Linked DNA regions of Neurospora crassa OR74A. Each later gene encodes a partner of the first gene's protein in a complex. Links are inferred from orthologs where the notes say so. Each region holds a gene or a part of one and is shown on either strand. Other genes may lie near its edges.

Region 1 (4,100 bases):
AAGGAGCCCGGTCAACGAGGAAGAAGGACGCCAAAAGCCGCCAGTGTATCGGGAGGACGGTATGGCTTCACGCTCTTCGGTGGGCGATGCCGTTTCGCAAGCAATTGGTACCAGGAACCCGCTCGGCGCAATTGGAAACGATCCTCCATCTGCTAAGGGCAAGGAGGAGGATAGGGGCCGTACCAACGAAGTCCAAGATCCGTTGGAGGGCATGCCCGCCATCGAAAAGTTTGGCTTGAAGGGTTTGCGCACCTTGATGAATAACTTCCCCGACTACAACTCCCTCATTATCGGGATCGATCCTTCCAGTTTAGGGTTGGAGCTGAACTCTTCTGAGTATGTGTAACCGGACTTTTCGCGAGCCCAAGCATCAAGCTGATCTTCTCCAGGCTGTATTCCACGCAAATCTACTCTATACTGGACGATGTCCCTCCCAGGCCGGCTGTGCCAAAGTTCAAGATACCCGAATGCTACATGGTCAAGAACGTACAGCCTATTGAGGCCAAGATTCAGAGCTTTAATGAGGAGACTTTGATGTGGATTTTCTACAGCTGCCCGGGCGACATCAAGCAGCAACTGGCTGCAGCTGAGCTGTAAGACTACTCCCAGTACCTTCCGTTTGATTGTCGTTATGGAGCTGACCAATCCACACAGAACTACGCGGAACTGGAGATGGCACAAGAAGCTTCAAGTGTGGCTTACCAAGGACGAGATGGGTAATACGGCTCAACTAAGCCCAGCTCATGAACGGGGTTACTACATCGTATGGGACACCGTGAACTGGCACAAGGAGCGGGTAAGTAGTGTGCCGTGGTTCGGCCTTTCGCTTATAGGTGGAATATGCTAACGACCTCTCCAGAGAGAGTTCACTTTGTATTATTGCGACCTGGAGACCAACCTCGGCGTTCCAATGCCAGCAATAGGAGCATAAGCTTTCAGACTCATCAGCACGGCATGCATATGCATTCGTGCTTTGGGTTATAGAGAAAGGGCTAGCTCGACACGCCTCGAAAGGGTATCCTTCGCAGGGGCGGACATACCTTGCGAGGATTCACCGGGTAGCTCTTTGAGCGGACCGCATTGCTTAGGAGGGAGGTTATTAGATATCTGAACCTACCGGATACAACCCAAGGTATAGCGCTGTTGAATCATCCATGGTCAAGGGGCTCGTCTCAGATGGGAAAAGTCAGAGATATCATGGGTTTCGGTCAGCGAAATAACATAGGAATACCAGCCGTACCGGACAGATCATTATCTGCATAACAATCATGGTCGAAACAACTGTTGCTTGATATTCAAACACTTCCAAGCTCCAACGTTTGCGATCAAACTGTCTATATTTCGGTGCAAGCTTACGCGACGTCTTTCGTTTTGGTAATTACACGCAACCTCCTGGCTGTTACCAGTGCCTGCTCACACGTGAAAGTTGTGTAATCATTCCGTTCATTGTTACGCTACGGTCGCAGGCTTGGCATTGCCCCACTGCGGCCGAATTCATGGATGTCACTGCTTTCCCCAACTGCCTCATCACACTCACCTATGTACACTATATTCGTCTGTACACTACATACTTAGGAGGCAAACCAACGCTTACCTGTAATTTCGACCTCGCTGGCCACACTACCTATTTCGGGACCATCGTATCCATCAACTGCATCTCGTCACAACGCATTCCTTTCTTTCATCCTCTCCTTGCCACCAACATCGACATCGACTGCCCTTGGCACGCGTCACCTGCCTCAATCCCGTTAGTCATCGGCATCGTCTTGCGACGCGCATCATACGTCAGGCGTTAGGGAGCGAAGCACTTTTCGACGGGGATTTTCAAGCAACAACACAAGCTAGAATTCGCCGGGACAAGAATACTAGATTTCCATTCTATAGATCTTACTCAGCAAACCCCCACGACTTCCCGGACTTAGCTGCCCAGTCGAAGGAACCGGTTACTCGGCGACAGCCTAACTTCCACATCGCGCAAACGAACGATTGCGAGAGGGGTCAACAACCAACAAAAATAACAGTCTACAATGGCAGAGGAAGAGATTAACATCCCTTCCCTGGTGATCGTACTGTTGGTCACTGGCCTAGCAGTACGCTACTTCTTCTTCAGCGGAAATGCGTCTTCGGCGAATCGCCAGCCGGGCGGGACAGGCGGCGCGACACCAGAGGAGTTGCAAAGACGGAGGGAACGAGAACGAGAAGCGGCGGTCGAAACGATACAACAGATGTTCCCACAGGTAGACAGACGGACTATCCTGTGGGATCTGCAGCGCCATGGAGGAAACTTGCAGGCTACAACAGAAAGGATTTTGGCCGGGAGAACGGAGACTGTAAGTTCCGACCTCTTTTTACTTTTCCAAGCTTCGTTCTCCATGCCTCATATGATGCGCTTTTGCTCGTCACTCGTAGAGAGCTTTTGCTAACACCTGAGTGACAAACCATCCTTTAGCCTCCGATCACCTTTCAGCCTCCGCCTCCACCCAGCTCGCCAGAGACAACCGCTGCTGCGCAGCAAAGTGCAGCTGCCGCCGCCGCCAGTAAATACGCGGAAAAGAAGGTCCACCCGGATCTGATCACAAGGTATAACCTGAGGGATAAACTTGCCAGCGCCCCTTCGGAGGATGCCGGGACGGCGGCGGCCGGCGCCCCAAAGACAGGAGGCTGGAGCTCGAATCGCGAGGAGAGGCAGTCGTTACTGCGGAAGAGGAGGGATCAGATGATTATCGAAGCCAGAAGGAAAATGGAGGCCAAGATTGCGGCGGAGAAGACGGCTGCTGCTGCTGCTTCGGGCTCCGCCGCCGCCGGGGATAACTGAAGGCCCATCGGCTTGAGTTTTGGCTCTGTAAGGGGCAGTATTGGAGTGGAACATGTTTGCATGTAATGAAACAACGTATAGAACCAACACAACTTTAAAGAGGAAAGGCTGGTGGAAGGGGTTTGAGAGAGTTATCACACACATGTCACAGTTTGGGGCATGTATAGATTGTAAGAGACGAACTAGGCATCATGATGAGGCTGAAGGTGGTCGGATAGATCGGAAGCGTTCTCTGTGGTCAATAGGGGTCATCTGGTGTTTCAGCGTAGCTACAACTTTGTACGAAGACATTCGTATTTATAAGATTGAAAGCCCGATAAATACGTCGCCAGAGGTGGAATTGCTTTTGGAGTCGACCATCGCAGCAAGGCACCTGACACTGCAGCTTGTCTCCAGGTCTCATATGTGCGAGGTCAAACCCTGGATCTCTCCTCAGCGGCAACATCCGGCGTTGACATCTTGCAGCCGCTCTTGGCCAGCCAAATGGGTGGCCCTTGCAACTTCCAACATCAAATTTACGAAGCTGACCTTGGACCACTCAAGTCCGTCTCGAATAAACTGGAAGTTATCAACTGGCTACGCAGGATCAATCGGCATCCATGAAGCCAAATGAGGGAACAACATTCAGCCCCAAGGCAGTCCCGCCGACGCCTCCACATAGACGCCCTTCCTTATTGCGCTCGATGTTCTCGATATCATCACTCCAGCACCACATATCTCTATTTGGTGACGGGGAAATCCCCCCGACCAAGCTCAAACCCGCCTCCACTCCCTCCACACCTATGTCGGCAACACCACCACCCAAACACGATATAACTGCCACTAGGAAGATGTCAGAGGCTGGAACCGGATACTTTATGGCTGGCTTGGCCTCTCCAACGAGCACTTCGGAACGTGGACTCGTGCCAATCACAATAACGCCAAAGACGCGGGGAATCGATTGGCGATATGGAGCGCAAGGTGAGCGAACCCCAGCCGATTTTCTCTCCGTGTTTGGTTTCGGTTGGTCCCAAATTGGTCACTAACCTTGTTCGATCTTGACTGTCACTCTCTCCAGGCACAAGTCTCCTCGTAAACGCAGCCGAAGAATCGCGCCGCAGCGGGAACAGCGCCTTCAGTTCTAACTTCGAGCGATCAACCTACATAACCGGTCTCCAGAACTTACTCAACGGACTACCACTGGACCTCCGAGAATCCGAAATAACCACACTGCAGCAAGCCGTCCCGCCGGCGGTGGTCACCAGGATCATCCAAGAGAGTAGCCCTACTGAAAACAATAAGCCAG
Region 2 (4,057 bases), on another chromosome or scaffold:
TGGCAGAGTGCTGTCGAGGCTGGTTTGGGTGGGCAGACGGCGGCGGCGGGGAGACAGAGGTGTCAGAAAGCTCTCGCTCCCAAACCTCCTCCTTCCGTCTCTGCCTTTACCAAATCCGCTCCAGCTCGTCCCCGCCCAACTCCCAGCGCAGCAACAAGTCAAAAATCCTCCGAAGCAGTCCAACGTCTCCGCCTAGCCAACCAGGCCGCGGAGAAGGAAGGAAGCGAAAAGTTTGCTCTTGCCGACAAGGTGGATGCGAAGATTGCGAGCTGGCGCGACGGCAAGAAGGATAACTTGCGCGCGCTGCTGGCGAGTTTGGATAATGTGCTGTGGGAGGGGAGCGGGTGGAAGAAGGTGGGATTGCATGAATTGGTGGTGGCGAACAAGGTCAAGATTGTTTACATGAAGGCTATCGCAAAGTGTCATCCTGATAAGGTAAGCTTTGTCTTTCTTTTTTTTTTCTCTTCCCCTTTTTCTGTCTTCTTGGAAATTTGAAGTGAATCAGAAATATCCGGGATGGTTGCTGACGAAGATGATAACCAGATTTCGACGGATGCGTCAACCGAGGTTAGGATGATTGCTGGAACGGTATTTGCCACGCTTAATGAGGCTTGGGATAAGTTTAAGAAGGAGAATAATATGTGAGTGTAAGGGGCGGGTGGAATAGTAATGGGTTGATGAGAAACGTAGGGGGGCGGAAGGGTTAATGTTCTAAACTGCTTATTGAGATATGATACCTATATTAGAAGGAACGGGAAAGGAGTGCTAATAAACCTCAAGCTACTTGTCTGCTGTAGACATGTCTCTGTTCGAGCGGACAAGGCGAACGGAGGTCATATAGAAAACATCATCAACATGGGAATAGGAAGTTCGTCATTATTATCCTCAAAGGAAAACACCAGTGCCATGCCATGCTAATAAAAAAGTATACCTCAAACCACCACCCTTCCTCTTGTTCAAAGTGCTTAGTCACTCCGAGATTCTTTTACCACCCTTTACCACCACCACCACCACCACCACCACCACCACCCCCGTTCTCGCTCTCTATCCACGAAACCTTCTTCAACCACTTCACACAACGAACCCGCCCTTCCATTACTCTCTTCATCCTCTTTCTTCCCAACTCTCCATGCCCTTAAAGCCCCAAGCTAGCCCTCACACTAGCCTTCACCCTCGCCTCGTACTCGCTCCTCTTCTCCCTCCACATCTTGGCCGCCTCCACGTTCGCCGGACTCTCGTCGTTAGGCTCCGCCAACATGCTCATAACAGATAACAAGATTTTCTCGACGGACTGAATAGGTGACCATCTCTCCGAGGCAGTCTCGTAGTGGTTCGGGTCGTCGCCGGGTGGGTGGAGGATCGAGATGCAGACCAGACCTGAGGGGTAGACTGTTGGAGGGTTGATTTCCGTTAGCACTTTGCATGCCTGACCACCACAGATGGTGAGAAGAACCAAGTGAAGGATAAGAGAAATAAAAAAGGAAGAAGAGGAAGGAGAAGAAGAACACACCATTAGGATGGAATATATCCCCCAGAAACTTCATGGTCGGCGGCATATGCGGGTAATCGTTCGGAAACTTGAGTTCTGCGGGGAACACGCCGCCCTCAAAGGGGGTGCCTTCGGGCCCTTGGATCAGGCATTCCCAGTGCAGCAGGTCGTCTTCGGAAATGGGGCCCGCGGTGATGCCTTCGGGTGGGTTGTTGGTTAGAGCGCGGTATTCTTGGAGGAGACGACGTTGGGCTACGTTGAGAGACATTGTAGCTGTTGGTTGATGGTGGGTGTTGTTGTTATTGTTGGGGTCCTCGTGTGGTGTTGTTGTTGTTGATGATCGAGACGTGGGGCTCTCTGAGGAGAGTGCCTCGGGGGCGGTACTGTGTTATGGATATACGCTTTGGTGATCGGGATGGGAATCGCGTGGTGTCGCAAGCAGTTACTGTGGGTTGGGCATATGGTTAAGACGAAGGTAGATATGTCGTGATCTACTTCTTATCGATTGTTTGTTTTGGTTTAAGAAACGAAGTGTCGAACTGAATCGATGCATGCAGGAGAAGCGCGGAGGACACACTGGGCTGCAGCGGGGGTTGTCAGCGGCGCAGTTGCTTGACACGTCTGACGTCGGTCCGCTCGGCGGGGATTGATTTCCATGGGACGTCTCGGGACGGGAATTGGGGAAGCTGCTGCTGCTGCACCACAGGGGCCATACATGCTAGGGCCCGGGACCCTTCCAGAAGCGCCTACGACAGGTACACCAGCCGGGGGGTTCTAGCGGCCGGGTGTGCTGTTTCCCTTCCTGAGCTGCCGGCCGGCAACCTGAGAGCTAGACTACCTCTAGGGAGGTAAAAAAAAGCTCTCGGTCAACCGCAACCGGCTTCCTTGTTATCGCAATTGGCTGTTATCGCATCTGCCATTCCATCTATTCTTGTTTCGGTTTCGGAAACTCGATGGCTCGTCGTCGACTGGGAGCCACGCCGCTCTAGCTTGCCAACCTCTCACCTCGTCAGCCAGCCATGCCGCCAACGCTGGGCCTACGACGGGCTTTACAGAGCCGCGGCCGCGGTCTCGGGTTTGGCCAGCGGACAGTACCGTCGTCCGTATGTCTCTTCTGTTCCTTTGCGACTCGGCCTTCCACTTTTCCCACATCGTCACCACTCAACAAGCTCCGGGCAACGAGGGCAAAACCACAAGAAGCGCCGGCTGTTCGACCACGATACCAATCGACCGGCGCCACCCCGCTCCGGCCCTTCATAAGCACGCCCTCCGACGCCGCCGATGCCGCCCCGGCCGAACCAGAACCAATTGATCCCCGCAAAGACCTTGAGAGCGCTCTCCGCGACTTACAAACCCTCGCACCCAACCACGTCAATCTTCCGCGCCTCCAGCTCGCCCTACGCAACCTTAGCCAAGATCCCGGCCATGAATCGATACGAGTCGCATTCCTCGGCCTCACCACCGGCGACAAGCCCCAACACACTGCCAGGGAGCTGCTCCGCCTGGCACTCGCCGATCCGCTGAAATCCGCCCAAAACTGGGAAGCGCAACTCAAGGCCCACGACCCCTCCAAGCCGCTCATCGTACACATCGGCCCTCCCGAGGAGCAAGCCACGCCACTGTCGCTTGCCGCGAGCGAACATGTGATCCCCGAAATCACCGTGCCGTCGCACATCTACAACGATGCCAACCTCGAGATGATAGTCATGGAGGCCGACCAGGCAACCGTCGCGCAGGCGGGCGAGCAGCCACACACCTTTGACGAGGCTATCCTCGTGCCCGCCGTCGACACAGCAGCCACCACAGCCGGCCACTCGGCGCCCATCGTCACGCCCGTGCACATGGCCGTGCTGGTAGCCGACGGCGTCCTGAGCGCCGCCTCCATCCTGTCACTGCCCATCAGCCCAGAAAGCCAAGACACCATCACGGCCGTCGCCAACTTCAAGAGGATCAGCGCCGAAGACAAGGCCGCATGCCCGTCCCTGGTCATCACTAGCGTCGAGGCTGGTGCACAGGGCCTCGACCTCTTCCGTGAGAGCGCTAGCAACGCCATGAAGTACGAAGCCCTCTGGACCGAGGCCGGCGTGGGACACATCAACAAGTGGCTGCGATCCAACGTGCTGTCGCAAGCTGAGCAGGAAGGGGCCACCAAGGCGCCCGTGCGCAAGCTGATTGAGTCCATTCTGCACAACGCCGGCGCGGCGCTCCAGGCGGCCGAGTACCGCGACATGAAGGTCTCGGTAGAAGGGGGCCCGTCGCCGCACACGATTGCGCGCCTGAACCAGGCGCTGGCGGACTGGGCCAAGGATGCGCACGAGGAGCTGCAGCAGCAGTTAGAGATTGCGTTCGTCGGCGAAGCGTGGAGGCAGATGAACTGGTGGAAGCTGTTTTGGCGGGTGGATGACGTGGGCATGCTGTCGTCTGAGATGATTGCCCAACGATTCTTGCCCGAGGCTGAGAAGCGCTTGATCTTTTTGGCCGGCAGGCTCCAGGAGGCTGGAATTACTACTGCGGGCGGAGAAAAGCCGGTGACGTACTCCGGCCCGGCGGTTCCACCGTCGTTCCCCG

The links. Proteins that work in one complex are often made in the same cells at the same time.
Region 2: the proteins of NCU07672 (region 1) and NCU03623 are in contact, whole or in part, in a crystal structure (PDB 6OP8), measured with the Schizosaccharomyces pombe proteins. The link is inferred for Neurospora crassa OR74A from reciprocal best matches to the Schizosaccharomyces pombe genes cue1 and ubc7. Residues at the interface, in NP_587825.1 of Schizosaccharomyces pombe: Asn173, Arg174, Ser175, Lys176, Leu177, Lys181, Arg184, Glu185, Leu187, Phe188, Arg191, Lys192, Glu193, Met195, Ile196, Leu197, Ala199, Arg200, Arg202, Met203, Lys206, Ile207, Glu210; in NP_595778.1 of Schizosaccharomyces pombe: Met11, Tyr14, Lys15, Leu17, Thr18, Glu19, Asn20, Gly21, Pro22, Asp23, Gly24, Ile25, Thr26, Ala27, Gly28, Pro29, Ser30, Asn31, Glu32, Asp33, Asp39, Leu41, Gln43, Gly52, Leu54, Arg161, Leu164, Gly165.

The regions. Positions count from the first base shown.
Region 1 is NC_026504.1:2,290,281-2,294,380, forward strand, and holds NCU07672 (hypothetical protein), read left to right. Parts: upstream 1-1,566; 5' UTR 1,567-2,027; coding exon 2,028-2,330; intron 2,331-2,449; coding exon 2,450-2,815; 3' UTR 2,816-3,131; downstream 3,132-4,100. Other genes in the region: NCU11372 (hypothetical protein), read left to right, coding at 1-336, 390-593, 655-796, 860-931; NCU07671 (hypothetical protein), read left to right, coding at 3,415-3,775, 3,873-4,100.
Region 2 is NC_026505.1:1,883,077-1,887,133, forward strand, and holds NCU03623 (ubiquitin-conjugating enzyme E), read right to left. Parts: upstream 2,144-4,057; 5' UTR 1,758-2,143; coding exon 1,511-1,757; intron 1,390-1,510; coding exon 1,136-1,389; 3' UTR 811-1,135; downstream 1-810. Other genes in the region: NCU03622 (UBA/TS-N domain-containing protein), read left to right, coding at 1-435, 544-645; NCU03624 (hypothetical protein), read left to right, coding at 2,509-4,057. UniProt on the Schizosaccharomyces pombe protein: Catalyzes the covalent attachment of ubiquitin to other proteins. Functions in degradation of misfolded or regulated proteins localized in the endoplasmic reticulum (ER) lumen or membrane via the ubiquitin-proteasome system.